2 linked regions of the Tribolium castaneum genome follow. The protein of the gene in region 1 interacts with the protein of each later gene in a pairwise test. Links are inferred from orthologs where the notes say so. Each region holds a gene or a part of one and is shown in the gene's direction. Other genes may lie near its edges.

Region 1 (5,532 bases):
TGATTCCAAACGCAGTTGATACATGTGCATTTATGCCGGATCCCAGCCAAAGATCGAGCGAATTTAGTATAAAAAAATCTTCTAATTATAAAATTAAACATTTACGAAGGTTTTTTTTAGTCACAATAGTCGTGGTTTCAAGACTAGTTTACCGCAAAGGCGTGGATTTGACGGCCCAAATTATTTCAGAAATGTGCAGTAAACACGATAAAATCAACTTTTTAATCGCAGGCGACGGACCCAAGCGCGGGTAAACACAAAAACCCTATTTTTTAGCCTCAAATATCATAATCAATTTCATAGATTGCTTGAGGAAATACGGGAAAGGCAAGGGTTGCACGATAGGGTCACCCTTTTGGGTAGCCTGGAGCATTCCCTTGTTCGCAATGTACTAAACCAAGGGCATATTTTCCTCAACACTTCCCTGACTGAAGCGTATTGTATGGCTATAGTAGAAGCGGTTTCATGCGGGTTTGCTTCCCAAAGTCACAATAAACTTTGGTAACTTGGCTAATTTTTATAGATTACAAGTCGTTTCGACCCGAGTTGGGGGAATCCCAGAAGTGTTGCCTGAAGATTTGATTTACTTGACTGAACCAAACGTCCCTTCTCTTATTAAAACCCTCGAAACCGCAATTGATGATTTGAAAAATAACAAAGTTAATTGTCCGTACTTGTGTAATTTGAGGATAAAAAATTATTACAACTGGGAGAACGTTTCAAAACGGACGGAAATCGTGTATCAGAAAGTTATGCAAGAAAGGAATAAAACATTACAGGAGCAATTATGGAGGTGAGGTTGAACTCATTAATACTCAATTTAACTTTTCTGTTTTTATTTTAGTTACAAAACAAGTGGTGTTTGGCCATTTTTACTGGCGGTCTCTTTGTGTTATCTAATGTTGCAGTTTTTGGAGTACATATACCCAAGGGAATACATCGATATCGCCAAGGATTATAATTATAAGAAAAAAAGTAAAGAGAAGATTTATTAGTTGTGTCCTGTAAATAAAATTTTTTATTACCAAACTGTCTTTCTCTCATACTTATAATTAAAACATAAGTTCAAGTCTCAGAGTCAACTGTCTTCAGTTAGTTGATGAAACTATCAGGTGAAGAAATTCTTAACATCATTGTAGATAAATAGAAAAAACAAAAATATTAAACATGCACACTTACCTCAGAGTTTTGTAGTACAGTTTGATTTTTCCTCATCGTCAATGAACTGCAAAAAAATTAAACACATTATATCAACTCAAACCAATGGTTTTTGTTGAGAAATTGCTTCCCAACTCAGTCTTACTTTTTTGGTGGTAGTAAAGGTTATCTGCACAGTAACTCAGATAGCAAATACTTGATCATCATTTAAAATTTAGTTTATAAAACAAAATAAAATATTACAACCTACCGTCTAGGCCTAAGCTGGAATCATAGTAGTTGACAACTCTTTTGTTCAGGCCTCACTTTAGGAACAATCTAGAGCAAAATGTAAATTAGATGAAGTTGTAACAATTAAAAAACAAAAAACCAAATAATATCAGTACACCTTTGCAAGTATAATAAAAACAACTGCCACTCACCTGAATGCACTAAGTGTCATGATTTTTTCCACTTCATTTTCACGAAATCTGCAAATAGATCACAGAAATCAACACAAATACATATCGTAGTTGAAAAATGAATGAATTTAATGGAAAAGTCAGTATTAAAAAGCTCGTTTTTGAATCAACAGAGACATTCAGGTTATAAAAAAAATCATCATAATGATGCTACTACCGCAAAAATACTAGAATCAACATAACAAATCCATAACTCACCTTCATTTTCTTAATTTCTAGTTGTGTAAAATCAGTAGATTGCATTTCTTTTGCAAGATTTTTGCGGATAAACATTGTAAACGAACGAACCAGACAAAAACTCACCGGAAAATAGCACCATTGCCAACGTAACGCGACTTTTATACCTCTTGCACCAACCCTCATCATGAAATCCCCTATTTCGATGACATTTAAACTGTGACGTGTTTGACACATGTCAACAAAAAATATGGCAGATGTGTCAAAAGCCCAAAAATTGGCATCTGCTAGAAAAAAGGTAATTACCAAAAAATGCCATTTACGCTTGTTTAGCTTCTAACACGTCTAGGTAATGAGAAAATGCACACGCTTTTTTTAAAACCCCCTAGTCCAATTAGGCCACATCATTGTTTTGCTTCTAGTTCAAGGAATTAAAAAAGGAAAAAAAGAAGAACACTGCCCAGAAAGCACCCGAACTTGTCGAGTCACCACCCACAAGTCGCGAGCAGACACCTGTGGAAGGTCTCACAAATGAACCAGCGCAACTTCCAAATTACTTCAGTAATGTAAACTTCAACAACGGCTATCAGCAGCCAACGGCATTTTTCGATAATTTTTCACAAAATAACGACCCTTTCGCGTGCATCACGCCCTCAAATAATCTCAATGGTGACCAAAACCACGCGTTTTCAGTACCTGAAGACAATAAAAATGACGAAATTTCCAACTTCCAAGCCTTTGACAGCGTCAAATTTGACCAGAAACCTTCCCCACGCCCCCAGTTGTCCACAGTTGAGAGTCTGCGCCAGTTGCAGGACCAAATGGCCGAATTAATAAGCCCCCCTGAAAATGAGCCACTGGGGGGCGAGTCACCGCTAGAAATTCGGAATCAAGAGTTGGCGGAACTGCTCAATCAGGAAAAGGTGAAAAATGAAGAACTGAACGCTAGTTTGAGAGAATATCAAACGAAGCTCAGCCAATTAGAGGCCGAGCTTAAAGACAAACAATTGAACACCGATACTAGAGTAGAGCACGAAGTTAGCACTCTTCGAGAAGAGTTACAATGTCATGTCCAAACTGTGGGAATTCTCGTGGCGGAAAAGGCCGAATTAGTTGCAAATCTCAGCCAATTCCAGTTGGCGGCGAAACAGAAAACAGCCGAATGCGAGGAGTTACAAGGTCGCTTGAAAACTTCCAGATCACGTGTCGCAGACCTTGAACGTGAAGTTGCGCTCCTTAAGAACGAAAAGTCGCAATACGACAACATGGGACGCGAACAAAACTCCGAGTTGGAAAAGTTGAAACAGAGCTACCAGTCTGTGAAAGATGAAAAAGAGGAACTGCTCCAGGATTTGCTTGAAGCTCGAGAAAAACTCAAAAGTAGCTCTGAAAGTTGCGTCGAGTTCCAACAGCAGATCAAGGAGTTGTCCAATCAACTGTCCATGGCCAATATTAAAATCCAGCAACTCACAACTGGGGATCAAGACAGCAGTGAGATCGAGAAACTGACTCAGGAGAAGTTCGCTCTTGAGAAACAAGTCGCCGATTTGAGCCAAACAGTTAAAACTTTATCGAAAGAGAGGGAGGAGTCTAGTCTACAGTACCAGCAATATGCCCAACAGTTGAACGCGCAATTGTCGAGTCTGGCGACTCGATTAGAGACGTCTCAGAAGGAGAACGAATCTCTGGCGATACGCGAACAGGACAGGATTAAACACATCGGCGAGTTGGAGAAACAACTGCAAAATTTGCAGAACGATCAAGTGTCCTTTGCCGTGCAAAAACCCACCACTGAAACAAAAGCCGAACTCGAAGCCGCCCTAGAATTAGTCGAGAGACTCAAAACCGAAAACGTGGAGTTGCAAGAGGAGAATGTTAAAGCAGCAAACGAAAAGGAGTTGCTTTTGAAGGAGTTGGAAGCCAAAGGAGAGAGTATAAGTGAGCTGGAGCGGATCGTAGAGGAGTTGAGGACCAATCAGCCCGACAGTGGAAAATTATTAGCAATTATGGAAAGTGACAAAGTCGCAGCGGCCAGAGCCGTGTCTCAAAACACCGAATTGAAGAATCAGATGGACAGTATGCAGGAAGTTTTCATGAAGTTGGTAAGTAACGCTCGGTTTTAAAGGAGTTGTCTTTATTATTATTGTTACAGAATAATGACAAAATCGAATTGACCGAAAAACTGACAATCGAGCAGCGCAACAATAAGGAATTGTTCGAAAAATTGCAAAAAACAGAGCTGCATTTGCAAACTTTGGCCGACGCGATTGAAATCAAAGATAAGGAGTTGTCGCATCTTCGGGAGAACTCGTCCGAGCTCGACAAACAGTTGCTGCAGAGTGAACAGTTGAACGATAGGTTGAGGCATTACGAGGCACAGGATCATAGTTCACAAGCGTTACAAAACGAGCTGTTTCAAGCCAATCAAACTATCGAAAAACTGAACGAAGAGATAAAACAATTGAAAGTGTGTAGTAGTGACGTAAAAGAGTTACGAGAGAATGAGACAAAAGATGCCACTGATAGCAACCACAATGGAATTGTTTTGGACAAAGAGGCGGCCATGAAACATTTGGAAGAGAAATTTTTGAAGACGATGGAAGACATTGCCAATTTAACAGAGGAGAAGCAACGTCTCGAACACCTGGTGTTGCAATTGCAAGGTGAGACCGAGACGATAGGAGAGTATGTGGCGCTCTATCAACAACAGAGGAGTCTATTAAAACAAAAAGCGATTGAAAAAGACCAGCAATTGTCACAGTTAGCCAATGACCGCGAATTGATGAAAGCCAAGCTAGACAAATTGAACGAATTGGTGAAAAAGCTGGTCCTTGAAAAAGGAGCCGTTCCGTCCGAATTGCTGGAACATCACCACGACAATCATCTATGCGAAGAACACGCGAAAATCAGTAACGAAATCAATAAAATCGCGCAGAATACGTTCACAGTCGAACCGAGTGATACTCAAAGTACCGAAACAGCAGAAGAAATAATCGCACTCCTGTCGGAGATTAAAACCAGTAACTTGGTACAACCGGCTGAGAATATACATCATTGTCCGTGGTGTTCGGGCCAACTTATTACGGTGTAAATGGGATATTGTGATTATATTGTTATTTTAAATAGCTTGATTAAAGTTTATTACATAACTGCACTCGTGTGTGTTGACTGGGAATAGTTAAGAAATGAGAAACGCGCTCTGATTTTTCATATCAGAATATATTAAGTTTATTCATAGATTCTTAATAGTAAACACGAACTGACAAATATACATTGATCAGACTATGAAAACTGAATCCGAACTGGCGCTGTAGTTCGAAACTACTCGTACTTCAAACTGGCACATCAGTCACGCGTGTCGCCCTCTTATTTTTCAGACACTTCTTACTCAAACACACAATAACTAAGTTATCACTTAAATTACTCTCCTATTCAACCGAAATTCTGATAATTGCTATAATCCGCGGCCGTGAAAGTCGTCGAACTCGCCACGGGCGCCACTATCGAGTACGTCACGGCGCCCCCTTGCCCAAACCCTTGAACCTTCTCCCCCTCACTCTTCACCTGCGACACCACAAACCCGCCCTCTTTGAACTTCACCTCCCCTGCACCCATCAAATTGATCAAACCCGAATTTTGCAATTCGACAATTTTCGGGTCAATCACCAGATTCTCCCCTGAGACGTTCAACGGCCCCATCAGGCCCATCGTATGGGCCAGAATTTTGCCCTTGGCT
Region 2 (4,577 bases), on another chromosome or scaffold:
TACTAAACCACCATCACACCTTTCCATAAGCCAGAGAGATCCAATCTCAACATAAACTAACGATTTATGTGCGCGATAAAAGCGCGCGACATATTTTTCCATTGTGTATAATTTTTTTCTCGTGCTTAGATAATCTCTGACGTCTCTATGCTTGATTTTCGAACATCATGTGAGTGGTACCCAAGGTACCGCCCATACCTCCGGCGATGTGGTAGAGACGGCCATGTTATCGGGGCCGTAGGGGCCACAACCGGTCTTACATTTACTTTTGCATCGTAAACAGCAACTGCTGTTCACTTCTTGTGGCGAAAAAAACGCACACAACTGCGAGAATCGTATCATTACGAACAGGGAATTCGACGTTTTTGCTCCCACATTGCGTGAACGATTTTTTCATTCCCAGAGATTTATTCCGGCAAATCTATACACAAGAAAGACGAATTTTCAACTGAAAATTGGTAAATTTCAGATCAGATTGGTTGGCATCTAATGTATTTTCTGACAAATTTAAAATTCATTACCATTTTTTAATCGAATTTAAATTCTCTGTTACCAATACAAGTCTCCAACAAGTACAGTTAAATATTATTATAAAAAATATTTATAAAACTTATTGAAATTGGGTGTAAACTGTATTTGTTCTAAAAATACAAAGCCAACTTGATTTTTTTTAATGTATTTTTTATAAAGAGCATTTTTGTGCTATGGTATAACACCTGCATACCTTATTTTAGTCGAAACTTAAAAAAATACCGAACAAATAAAATTTGGAAAAATATAACATTTTTTTAGTTTATTGTTAGAGCTCTGCCGCTTGAAATTTGATCAAATAATAAGTATAAGTTAATACTATAATTGTTAAAAAACACTTTTAACTGAAGAAGAACACATTTTAATAAAAAAATGTTTAAACACGAAATACATGATTTTTATGTTACAAAAAATGTTCAATATAATTTCCATTGCAATAATGAATACGTTGAACAAAATTTAGCAAAAAATTAATTAAAATATTTTGCGAAATATTGGCAGTTTCGTTTTTTATTCGTTGTAGGTCTTCGATCGCTAAGTATTTTCAAAATTGACTTAGTTTTTTTTCTCTATAAACCTTTATTATTTTTTTTATTATTATTTGTTCAATTTAATTTACAAATTGACATGCATTTGAAGGTTAAACGATAAAAATTTTTTTCTTTTAAACTTGAAATCTTGCTACAGAAAAAAATGTTATATTACATTATATACACGACGATAAAGATTGTTCATCTGCTCATAAAATAAGTAATCAATCTCATTATCGTCTTGTATAATAAATAACTATAATCTTTATATTGTTAATATTGTAATTATTAATTTTTTCCAAGCAATAATGGATATTGAACGAATTTTAAAAATTGCGTAAAAAACCGTTTGTGTTTTAATGAAATTTTGTGCAGAACATCGAGACATTTTTTTTATATGGCGCATATTGTTTGAGACCATGAACTAGATCCTAAATAATGACACAAAGAAATATATTTTTAAACATAAAAATACTTTTAACGACGCTGTTAGATATCTCTTCACTATAAGCAATTAACTATTTCCATAAACAAGTTGTAAACATATATGACAGTTATTACAACTTAAGTAAACATATTATTTTTTACTTTTACTACGTAGCAAAAATGGAAATTTTGTCCCAACAAAAGCCCAGTCGAATCTAACGTACTTGAATTTTAACAACGGTTATTTTTGCTCATTATTGTGTAGGTGTAGATTAATTATTGAAAATCCCACCTTAATACTACCGACTTTGACATTTGTTTGCCATCTAGTAGGCGAGTACAAAACTAGAAACAACAATTTTAATTTTAATTAAATAAAAGTAACGCAGCTAATTACCATATGATACCAAAATTTCTACGTTTTTAATTTTTTTGTAAAATTTTCAAATACATTATATAAAAAATTTAGATTACAGTTTTCTTTAAATAAAGTGTTACAAATTTGCGAGAGAGGTCGGCACGTTGCGTGACAGCCGTCATGTGTCAAACTAGCACGTAACCTAACTAAACAAATTTCAAAATCGCTCAAAATATGTTTTCCACGAGCACGCAGTGTAAAAATTGGATGTTTAACAGCGAAGATGAGTTAAATAAATTACGCGAAGCTGCGAATTTGAAGCATATCCAAGCCTACGGCCGCCACATCAATGTAAGTTTTTCGTGAGTGTTTCACGTTTTTTGAGTTTGTTGGTGCAGGAAGCCGCTCGTTTCGAGTTTTTTCTCACTGCCGAGGAGGAAAAGATAATGGTGAAACGTTACGAAATCCGATTACGCGATTTTTGTAAACGGTTTCAACCTCCGATGACGCGGTGTGTGATCGGGACTGCGTTCCATTATTTCAAGCGTTTTTACATTCACAATTCGGTAATGAACCACCATCCTAAGGAGATAATGTGAGGGGGAGGGATTTGTGTGTTGGTTTATTTTGACTGTGTTTATTAAAGGGTCACGTGTATTTATTTAGCGTGTAAGGTTGAAGAGTTCAATGTTTCCATTCAGCAATTTGTTGCCAATCTCAAAGGCGACAGGGAGAAGGCCACTGATATTATTTTGAACAACGAGTTGTTGCTGATGGAGCAGCTGAATTTCCAGTTGTCGATTCACAATCCGTTCAGGCCAGTGGAGGGACTACTAATTGATATTAAAGTTGGTTCAAGTACCTTGAAAGACTAATTCTAGGAGGCGAGACGGCGCTTTTTACGCTTTTTTGCCCCAAAAACTTCACTCATTTCACCAAGAATTACCAGTGAATTATACCAGCTTTTCAAGAGATGTAAAATTTTGATTTTTTTTGCTTAAAATTTTATGAAAATGAAAATTTTTTTCTTAAACTCTCTCTAGTAAAGTTTTGTGGACTTTTCTATACGTTCACGACTTCCGACCCGAAGTAAAAAATTCGTTTCGCCTCTTAGTTTTATTTCTTCATCGAATTTGATTTCCATTTAATTGTTTTTAGACTAGATGTGCATTAAATGATCCTGAACGTTTAAGGCCTGGAACTGAACATTTTCTCGAGAGAGCATTTTTAACAGACGTTGTGTTATTGTATTCTCCGAGTCAAGTGGCACTAGCTGCTGTTTTACACGCAGCCTCAAAATTGCAAGAAAATTTAGATTCTTACGTCACTGATACACTATTTGGGGTTGAGGGAAGTGGCAAATTGGCTGAATTAATTGAAGCCGTGCGAGCTATCCGATCTATTGTTAAAATGGTCGACGCTACGCCTGATAAAAATCAACAGAAACTTTTAGACAAGAAATTGGAGAAGTGTAGGAATCCTGAAAATAATCCCGATAGTGAAATGTACATCTCCTCCAAATTTTTATTCTTGGGTTAATTGTTACGTTCCAGATATAAGAAACGAATGCAGGCTTTGCTGGACGAAGATGACGATTTGTATCACCGTATTTCGACAAGGACTGATTCTTTGGATAACTCCGCCTTAGGCATGTCAGTGGGTGGTTCACCCGAAGTAGCGTAATATTGTGTACTGTATTTCAATTTTGTGAATAAAAACTATAACTTAAACATTTATTTCCTTGGTACAAAAATGACTTATTACAAATCTTTGGTTGAGTAAATAATTACGAATTTTCGAAATGTCTTCCGAAATTTTGAAGCTGCATCATTGGTGAGTTTTCATTCTGGTGATGTTCCGGAAAGCTGACGTAGTTTGGAACACACTGTCTAGGCACCAGGGGTGTGGTGGGCGGCGGTGGTAACATGCTGGGCACTGAGGGCACACTAGAGAGCCCGGGTTGGCCAGGATAGTTGAAAAACCTAAAAGTTGTTAGCACAAAATACGAAATTAAAAAACATCAAATAAAGCAACTTTTCATTTATTACAAAAAAAAAGAAGTGAATAAATACCATAATCTGTCTCCCAGAAAAATAGGCCTTGGGGTGAGAATCCCCATCGAGGTGTAATATTGCTGTGCTAGAAGTTCGACATCGTTCGTATATTTCCTCTTCCACTTGGTTCTCCGATTTTGGAACCAGATCTTGATTTGCGTCTCCGTTAATTTGAGCGTCTTGGAGAGTTGGCACCTCTTCGCCACCGACAGATATTTGTTCCGTTCAAATTCCGCCTCCAGAGATTTAATCTGTGAGGCTGTGAAGGCCGTCCTCGGCCTCTTCTTCCTCTCATCGTCCGATCTGTTGTCGCCACACTCTAAAAAGCACGAACCCAACACCAAACAGTTGTTTTTAATTTGCCGTGGCGAAATTTATGTTTTAAATGTCGAGTGGGAAGTGCAGACACGTTAAGAAGACGCTAATTTGCGCCAGAGACAGAATTAGATTTTAAACAGCTAACGATCTGGAAAGCGCTGAAAAATGACACGAAAAAACAAACACGCCGCTATCTTGCGCCCATATATTACGGGGAAACATGACTGCAGGCCTTAAATATTGGCTGATTTAAGGACGGTTTCGTGTGCGACGATTAGTGACATTAATTTCTGTTATAAACGACATTTAAGAAGCCTTTGGTGCTAAATTCAATTTACCAGGACTGCGGGATGTTTTAAA

The links.
Region 2: the proteins of golgin subfamily A member 2 (region 1) and CycH interact in binary tests that used the Homo sapiens proteins (3 or more experiments, as listed by UniProt). The link is inferred for Tribolium castaneum from reciprocal best matches to the Homo sapiens genes GOLGA2 and CCNH.

Annotation. Positions count from the first base shown.
Region 1 is NC_087398.1:3,527,944-3,533,475, reverse strand, and holds golgin subfamily A member 2, read left to right. Parts: upstream 1-1,976; 5' UTR 1,977-2,031; coding exon 2,032-2,094; intron 2,095-2,218; coding exon 2,219-3,898; intron 3,899-3,948; coding exon 3,949-4,887; 3' UTR 4,888-4,950; downstream 4,951-5,532. Other genes in the region: PIG-A (phosphatidylinositol N-acetylglucosaminyltransferase subunit A), read left to right, coding at 1-66, 121-250, 304-471, 524-793, 845-995; zinc finger protein ZFP2, read right to left, coding at 5,229-5,532. UniProt on the Homo sapiens protein: Peripheral membrane component of the cis-Golgi stack that acts as a membrane skeleton that maintains the structure of the Golgi apparatus, and as a vesicle thether that facilitates vesicle fusion to the Golgi membrane.
Region 2 is NC_087396.1:24,076,980-24,081,556, reverse strand, and holds CycH (cyclin-H), read left to right. Parts: upstream 1-1,994; 5' UTR 1,995-2,079; coding exon 2,080-2,196; intron 2,197-2,243; coding exon 2,244-2,440; intron 2,441-2,491; coding exon 2,492-2,693; intron 2,694-3,003; coding exon 3,004-3,350; intron 3,351-3,398; coding exon 3,399-3,528; 3' UTR 3,529-3,575; downstream 3,576-4,577. UniProt on the Homo sapiens protein: Regulates CDK7, the catalytic subunit of the CDK-activating kinase (CAK) enzymatic complex. CAK activates the cyclin-associated kinases CDK1, CDK2, CDK4 and CDK6 by threonine phosphorylation.